Canis lupus familiaris: one gene and its partner. The protein of the gene in region 2 interacts with the protein of the main gene of each other region in a pairwise test. Links are inferred from orthologs where the notes say so. Each region holds a gene or a part of one and is shown on either strand. Other genes may lie near its edges. The genes, in order: ATF5 and TRIB3.

Region 1 (3,903 bases), on a different chromosome or scaffold from region 2:
GTGAATCAATGAATTCTTCTCCCCTGATCCATGCCCAGCTCACCCCACCTCCATTCTCTACCTGCCCTTACCTGCCAGGGGCTCTCCTCCCCCTGGGAGCCCGCCCTCCAGGGCTCCCCCAAGGATTTCATAGGGGCCCAGGGGGGCAGGAGCCAGGGGGAGTTTCCCATAGTCTACGAGCCAGCCCAGCCCGCTAGCTGGGAGCAGGGTCTTGTCCAGCTCCAGCCCCAGGGTCGCCAGGAGTGACATGGCTGCAGCACAGGCTCTGGGCAGGTGTGGCAATGAAGAAGGCTGAACCAACAGCTGGAAGGAGGCTCTGGAGGTTGCTCAGCTGGGCAAAGACAGGCACCAAGGCGAAAGTGGAAGACCTACAAGTGAGACAGAATAGGTGATGTCAGAGGCCATCCTCATCCACAGCCAAAGTCACAGAGAAACCAAGCCACAGCTCCATGTCCCCAAGGTCCTTCCTACCTTCCCCTTCCAATTGGGTTTGAGACTGCACCTTGCCCTATCAGAATTCTAAATCTATGCTTTCTTTCCCCCAATTTCTTTTTTTTTTTTAAATTTTATTTATTTATTTGTGATAGTCACAGAGAGAGAGAGAGAGAGAGAGAGAGAGAGAGAGAGGCAGAGACACAGGCAGAGGGAGAAGCAGGCTCCATGCACCAGGAGCCCGACGTGGGACTCGATCCCGGGTCTCCAGGATCGCGCCCTGGGCCAAAGGCAGGCGCCAAACCGCTGCGCCACCCAGGGATCCCCTGGGCCCCACTTCTCTTCTCTTCTCTTCTCTTCTCTTTTCTTTTCTTTTCTTTCTTTCTCTCTCTCTTTTCTCTTTTCTTTCTTTTCTTTCTTTCTTTTTTTTTAAATCCATGAGATACACAGAGCCAGGCAGAGACATAGGCAGAGGGAGAAGCAGGCTCCCCCTGGAGAGCCCAATGCAGAACTTGTCCCAGGACTCTGGGATCACACCACCTGAGCCAAAGGCAGATACTTCTCCACTGAGCCACCCAGGTGCCCCTCTTTGGGCCCCACTTACTTTTCTTTAGAATTCCCAAGCCCTGTTCCTTCCTATACAAAAACCTAATGGTCTCCCAGGGGAATTTCCTTAAGCCCTTCCCTCCCACCTCACAAAATTACACTTCATTAAAAAAAAAAAAAATCAGGGCAGCCCGGGTGGCTCAGCGGTTTAGCGCCGCCTTCAGCCCAGGGCCTGATCCTGGAGACTCGGGATCAAGTCCCACGTCGGGCTCCCTGCATGGGGCCTGCTTCTCCTTCTGCCTGTGTCTCTGCCTCTCTCTCTCTCCTCTCTGTGTATTCTTATGAATAAATAAATAAAATCTTTTAAAAAAAATTTCAATCCCAGGAGAATTTTCTTCCAGCCACACCCCTTCCTCTAAAGTATTTCCTTTAGGCTCCATCCCATCTAAACACTCGGCTCAAAAATCAGCTCCCAGGGATCCCTGGGTGGCGCAGCGGTTTAGCGCCTGCCTTTGGCCCAGGGCGCGATCCTGGAGACCCGGGATCGAATCCCACGTCGGGCTCCTGGTGCATGGAGCCTGCTTCTCCCTCTGCCTGTGTTTCTGCCTCTCTCTGTGTGACTATCATAAATAAAAATTAAAAAAAAAAAAATCAGCTCCCAGGGGAATTCCCCCAGCCCTGCCCCTCCAAACCGTGGTCTACTAAGTCCCACGGCTTCTTTTTAGCTTCGCGGTGACCGCCCCAGTCCCTTCCCGTCCAATTACCTTAGCCCCCCACTTCATTCCCGGGGATACCCCAGAGGCCCCGCCTTCTCTCCGTTGAAACCCCACCCCAGGTAAATTTGCTTAACCACGCCCCTTCTCACGATAGACCCCCGCCCACCCGTCGCAGCCGCTGATCCTAGCTCCACCCCCCTCCTTACAGGTGGCCTCTAAGCCTCGCCTTCCGCCCTGTCAATCTGAGTCAGCCCCACCCAACCCCGCCCCAGCAGGTGCCCGAATGAAACATAAATTGTGTTGTGCGCATGAGCAAGGTGGAGCTCGGAGACGGGAGCCGGCCGGCGGAGCCACACGCCTCTCTCGCAGGGCTAAAGCGCATGCTCTGCCACTGATCCAATTGTTCTCTCAGGCCTGCGGGGTTGGGGAGTCAGTGCGCATGTGCAGCTGCTTACTGCCCGCCCTTCACTCAAAAAATACGGAGTCTGGTGGGCTTGTGCACGTGAGCAACCGCTCGCGGACAGACTCATTCGGGGAGCGGGGGGCGACCCCCGCTCGGGGCTAGTGCGCAGGCGCACTGCGTGCAGGCCATCTTTAAACTCCAGCATTCTAGGGAAGAACGTACCCTTCCCCCACTGGACCGAATGCGCATGCTCGGCCGCGTGCCAACGACGCGTTTCCCTCTTCTGCGCCTGCGCGACCGTGATTCCTCACTCTCGTCTCCCCACCCCCCAGGCCTGGTCGTGAAGGCCGCGAGCTTCGAAAGGGCGGGAAAGGCGGTTGGAGAGGGAGGGGCGAGCGGTTACTCACTCCATGGCTACGGAAAGGAGAGGCGGCGGCAGCCTCAGCTGAAGAAAAGAAGGCGGTAGAGAAGAGCGCAAGCGCGGTGAGCGCGGAAACGGGCCGGGACACGGAGGGGTCGCGGCTACAGAGCCATAGCCGGGGTTGGGCGGGCGGAGATGGCGTCTCGGTAGCCTGAGAGGAGATTGTGATCTGTGGATGGGGAATGAGGCGGCCCCGGGGAGTGGGGACAGATATACAGGGGATGGCGCAGCACGGCCTCCCCGGATCCATCCGCGCCCCGCCCCGCCAGGCCCCAACCGGGAGGCGGGCCTGGCCTCTCCTCTCGGGAATCCTGGAATCCACTCCCCTCCTCCTCCCGACGCGGAGTTAGGCCTTTTCCTTCCTCTGACCCGGGGACCAGCTCCGTCTTCCTACCCCAGGGGTTCCGGCCCCCGTCCTCCTTCCAACTCTGGGGTCCTGTTCTCTGTCTCTCTGACTCAGGTCCCCTCCCCCCCAATTCTAGGGATTCGATCCCTCGCCTTCTCTGAGACCTGCCCTAGTTCACTTTTGGTTTCTTTTGCCCTAGTTCTCGAATTTCCGGCCAGCCACATGCTGGACTCCTATCCCCAAACTGCCGCCCCACGCTAAGAACCCTTTTTGTGGGTTAGACTCTTGTCTGAGTCACAATGAGACCGCGCGCGCCGTTCAAATCTCAGACCTGCGATGGTGGCCAAATAATCAAGTTCTCTAGTCTCGTAGATCGAGAACTGCCTGTAAAATGAAGAAAATAATCAACTCTGCCTGATGAGAATCAAGTCGATGCCTGTGAAACCCAGAGCCCGGCTCTTAATTGCCTATTTAATGTATCTTATTTTTAATAGGAACTCTGGGGTTGAGTCTCAACCATACCTCCTGCCCTGGCAAGATCCCCAGACATTTGACCATACAATAGCTGCTAGTAGGTCATTCTTGTGTCTTCTTCACTTCTTCAAGGTGTCAGTAATTGCCAGACATCCCCACCTTTCCCTGTTCCAGATGATGGACGCTCACCCGCAACACCAGCACAGTTGCAGAGAAGCAGGCATCATCACCCTGACTGTAGCTTTTCTCCATCCTCTGCCCACCTCCCATCAGCCCTTATCCTTAGCCCTCCTTTCAGGCCAGTTGGTTCTGCTTCAGCTGCCCCCCACTGGATCAGTTTACCAACCCTGCCCCAAAATAGGGAGATCTGCACTGCCCTTTGCTAAAAGAGAGGGGGCTTCCTGGCCATTCCCTCCTATGCACTAGACCCTCCACTGGCCCAAGTGGGTATGGGTCTTTACTTCCCACCTTGCATCTGTCCACAGCAGGACACCTAGAGTTCAACTTAACATCACGGGTGGTGGTTCTGAGGTCCAGAGAAGGTGGGGGAACTCTGATCTTGAGA
Region 2 (3,903 bases):
TCTTTTCCTCTCTCTGTTTCTAATGAATAAATAAAATCTTAAAAAAAAAAAAAAAAAGTGTCACAAGGACACTTGCTCCTAGTGCAAGGAGCTAGGACCTGTGACTGGGAGGGAGGGAGAGAGGGATGATGAATGAATGACATATGTACTGAATGTATATATAAATGTAAGCTCTAGAATGAATATATTGTCCAAAGAACAAAGCAAACTGCTAAACAATATACCTGGAGATGATCTTATTCTTGTAAAAAAAAAAACCCACCAGCATTAAAAAAAAAAATCTTCATATTTGCATGTATGTAGATATGTAAATGTACAGGACAAATTCTGGAATGACCCAGACTAAACTGGCCACAGTAGCTCCTGGCCTTCTGGGAGGACTCCAACAGAGGAAAGGATTTGGTAGGGAGGCAAGGGAATTTTCAGTTTCAGTAGTTTCAAATAAAGATTCTGCATTAATTTATTGCTGAGTATTTCAAAAAAGAGTGTATTTTTTTTTTTCAAATGTGAATTTTACTATTGCCTGATGGCCCAAGAGTGATCAGAATCACAGGTCAATGTGCAGAGTTGTCCATAGACAGCTAGGTTTCACCATCAGGTAAGAAGTAAGGCAAGCAGGGGGAGGCCTCTCAAAGGCCCCAATTCATTCAACTACGGCGGAAGCCATCAGCAGGGCAGCTGTGTAACTGTGTATGCGGTGGATGGAGGAGACTGCAATGGCAGTCAGGGCAGAGAAGTTCTCTCTAGGACCCATCTGCCTACCCATTCAGGATCCAGATGAGGGACAAGGAGCCCAGGTATAAGACATTAGCAGGATATAGACTTCAGCCCAGTTAAAGACTTTCCCAAAGGTCGGGGGCAGAAAACATCTCTCAGAGACCATTCTCAAACTGAGGGCCACGTACTCCCAAAATCCCAAAAGCATGGGATGCCTTGGGAAGGATACTCCACATTGAGTGAAAGGCCATAATCCCAATGTGGTAAGAATGAAACAGCAGGTGGCTGTAGTCAGATATTCTTGTAGTCAGATATTCCTAATCCTGGCTCAGACTTTTCCCAGCTGGGTAGCTCTGGGCAAGTCCTGCAGTCTTCCCCAGCCTCAGTGCCCTCATCTGTAAAGAGGGAGCAGGATGCAAAGTCCATATGATTTTTTGCGATGATGAAATAAAAGCACAAATAATTTAGTGACCCTGTTGCAGGGTGGGTGTCAGTAAATGATCACCACTGTCAGCCCATTGCTACTACTATTCATAGCCGGAGGTCCTTCAGTGCTCTCCTTCGGACTGTGGCTGGGGCGGCTCTCCTGTGGCCACATCAGCACACCAGGCTGCTTGGCCATATCCATGCCTCAGAGGTGGGTGGGGCTTGGGATAAGCTCCATGGGGCAGGTGGAGTTACTGTAACTGAGCAAGGGACTTTGCAGACCACACTGCAGGACTAGAATCTCCACTGTAGGATGGAGCAGCCCCCAATATCTACCTCTTGCTGTTCCCTGACACCTCTAGGGGAACCAGGGCAGGTCATACCAAGCACACACTCACAGAACCCAGAGCAGACAGGTGTACACACACCTCTCAAACGCACAGGTTGTCCAAGCCAACCAGCTGAGACACCACATTAAGGGCAGACGGGAGCATGCACATCGTTAAGGACACGCATCTCGTCCTCTGTGGACAAGCGTGCAGGCATACACACACACTCGCCGCGCACGGCGGACAGCAGTAAGGTCACAGGCAAGGTCTGACACGCGCCCCATCCCCCCACGGGCCCTCGCCCCGCCCTCCCCAGCCCGGCTCCTCCCGTGGGAGCGGAAGCGGCGGGCAGCGGGTGTCCTGAGGCCGAGGATTCAGCGGAAACGGAGCGGCGAGAGGCGAGAGGCGGAGAGGCTACGGAGGGAGGCCGGCCCCGGGGCTGCGAGAAGGGGCGGACCTGGGCCCCAGCCCCGCACACCCGGGGTCCGCAGGCGCGAACCGCACACGCGCGCAGTACAACCCGCAACCCGCGGCCGCAGCGCCAGGTGCGCACCTGCTGCCGACGCTCCGTGCGCTCCGGGGTCCCGCACCCGCGCGCGGCGGCCTCGCTCCACTCGCCCTGCACCCACCCCAGGACACCCCAGCGCGGCCCCAGCGTGTCCCCCGCTCAGCGGACACCTGCCACCAGGTGCGCAGCCCTCCCCACCGCCCGCACCGTCCGCCGGGACACATCCCCCCAACCCCGCAGGCTCACTCTACAGTGACACAGACCCTGCAGAGTCCCCAGCGACGCCCACGGGCCCCTCACACACGCCTTCCCCCGCCCCACACTCGCCTTTCGGGGCGACACTCCCACGTCTCCGCCCCGCCACCCTCAGCCCCCGGGAGACCGCCGCCGCCACCCTCGCGGGTGCGCCCCTCCCGCCCGCTCCCGGCCCCTCTCGGGCCCCCTGGGTACCTCTACCGGGCGTGCGGCGGGGTCCGGGGCCGCCCGGGCTCTCCCACGTGGCGGGGGGCCCGCTGCGACGCGACTGAGCTCGGGCCCCCGGCCCCCGGCAGCCGGACACGTGCGGAGCCGCCCGCGCTTCCGCTGCCAGTGTCTCCCGGCGCCCGCGACGGCCCCGGCCCCGGCCCGGGTGATGCAAACCTGGGCTAATCGGCCGCCGCCTGATGCGCTCAGGCCCGGGATTGCACCATCCCCGGGAGCCCCGCCCCCGCGCGCCCCGCCCCGCCCCGCCCCTCTCGCCTCACCCGGCCTCCAGGGGTGCCTGGGCTCCGCCTCCTCCCCCACCGGCCCCGCGCAGACCACCCCCGCTGCCTCTCCCTATCGCTTTGGAAAGAGCTTTTCTGAGCCTCAGTTTACCCGTACGTGAAATGAGGGAGAACATCCTTCCATCTCAGGATGCAGAGGAGAAAAAGAGCAAACTGTGACAGTTCCCGGGTGCTTTCCTGTTTATAAAGAACCTTCCCACCATTGCTTGATTAACCTTTAGGAGGACCCTGGGCAGGCAGAAAGCTCTGCTCCCCCCATCCTACAGTGAGGCCCAGCGCTGGGAAAGCAGCCCTGGAGCTTTGCAAAGACTGCAGACTTAGGAGCTGACTCAGGACTCAGAAGAACTAGTGTGGTCCCTTGGGGAGAAGACCTGAGCTGGGGCAGGCCTCACAGGGTTCTTTGGAGAGAGGCGGTGCAGCCTCATGGTAAAGAGCCAGTGCCCTAGAGAGCCAGTGCCCTAGAACCAGCCTGCCTAAGAGTGCACCCCTAGCTTTCCACAGATGCACTGTGCAACCTCAGGAAAGCTACTTCAAACCCTGTTGGAGCTGAAGTTCCTCCTCTGTAAAATGGGTTTATAGGAGTATTCACTTCATAAGGTTTTCACTGGGAGAAAATGCTTAGAACTATGTGGTAGGCACGTCCTAAGTGCTCAATGAATAGAATGAGGCTCAGAGGGGAAGGCACCCATAACAGGATTTGCACCCTAAGCCAAGGAGGCGCTGGGGCCACTTACTGTTTGGCAAGCCAAATCCTTGTGCAGCCCCAGAGTCCAGCACCTTTCTTGGAAATCCCTTTTAGGTCTTGATGTCTGAATGTACCAGTGTAAAAAAATACTCCTCCAGGCAGAGACTGGATGAATGGTGGGTGGAGTTACCTTTGTTTCTCAGGTTCCAGAACCCCAGGGATCAGCTCACCTGTGTCTAAGGACCTTCAGGGTGCACCAGGGTGTTCTGGGATCTCATTTAACCCTGGAGACTCCCCTGCCAGGGAGGGACTAATGAAATCATTTTCTATGCCAGGACACCTAGAGTCAAGTGGAAAATCCCACAGCAGTAAGGGACAAAGAAAGGTGGAGTTGGTTATTTTTTGAGCTTCTCTATGAAGCCAGCACTGTACCGGGTTTGCTCATACATTCATAACTTTGTTCATGCTGTGTCA

Evidence for each region.
Region 1: the proteins of TRIB3 (region 2) and ATF5 interact in a two-hybrid assay, tested with the Homo sapiens proteins (2 studies listed by BioGRID and IntAct). The link is inferred for Canis lupus familiaris from reciprocal best matches to the Homo sapiens genes TRIB3 and ATF5.

The regions. Positions count from the first base shown.
Region 1 is NC_049222.1:107,309,846-107,313,748, forward strand, and holds the start of ATF5 (cyclic AMP-dependent transcription factor ATF-5), read right to left. Parts: upstream 2,799-3,903; 5' UTR 2,505-2,798; exon of another isoform or gene 2,448-2,504; intron 1,790-2,447; exon of another isoform or gene 1,743-1,789; intron 369-1,742; 5' UTR 250-368; coding exon 72-249; intron 1-71.
Region 2 is NC_049245.1:20,963,421-20,967,323, forward strand, and holds the start of TRIB3 (tribbles homolog 3), read right to left. Parts: upstream 2,680-3,903; 5' UTR 2,620-2,679; intron 2,574-2,619; exon of another isoform or gene 2,431-2,573; intron 1-2,430. UniProt on the Homo sapiens protein: Inactive protein kinase which acts as a regulator of the integrated stress response (ISR), a process for adaptation to various stress. Inhibits the transcriptional activity of DDIT3/CHOP and is involved in DDIT3/CHOP-dependent cell death during ER stress.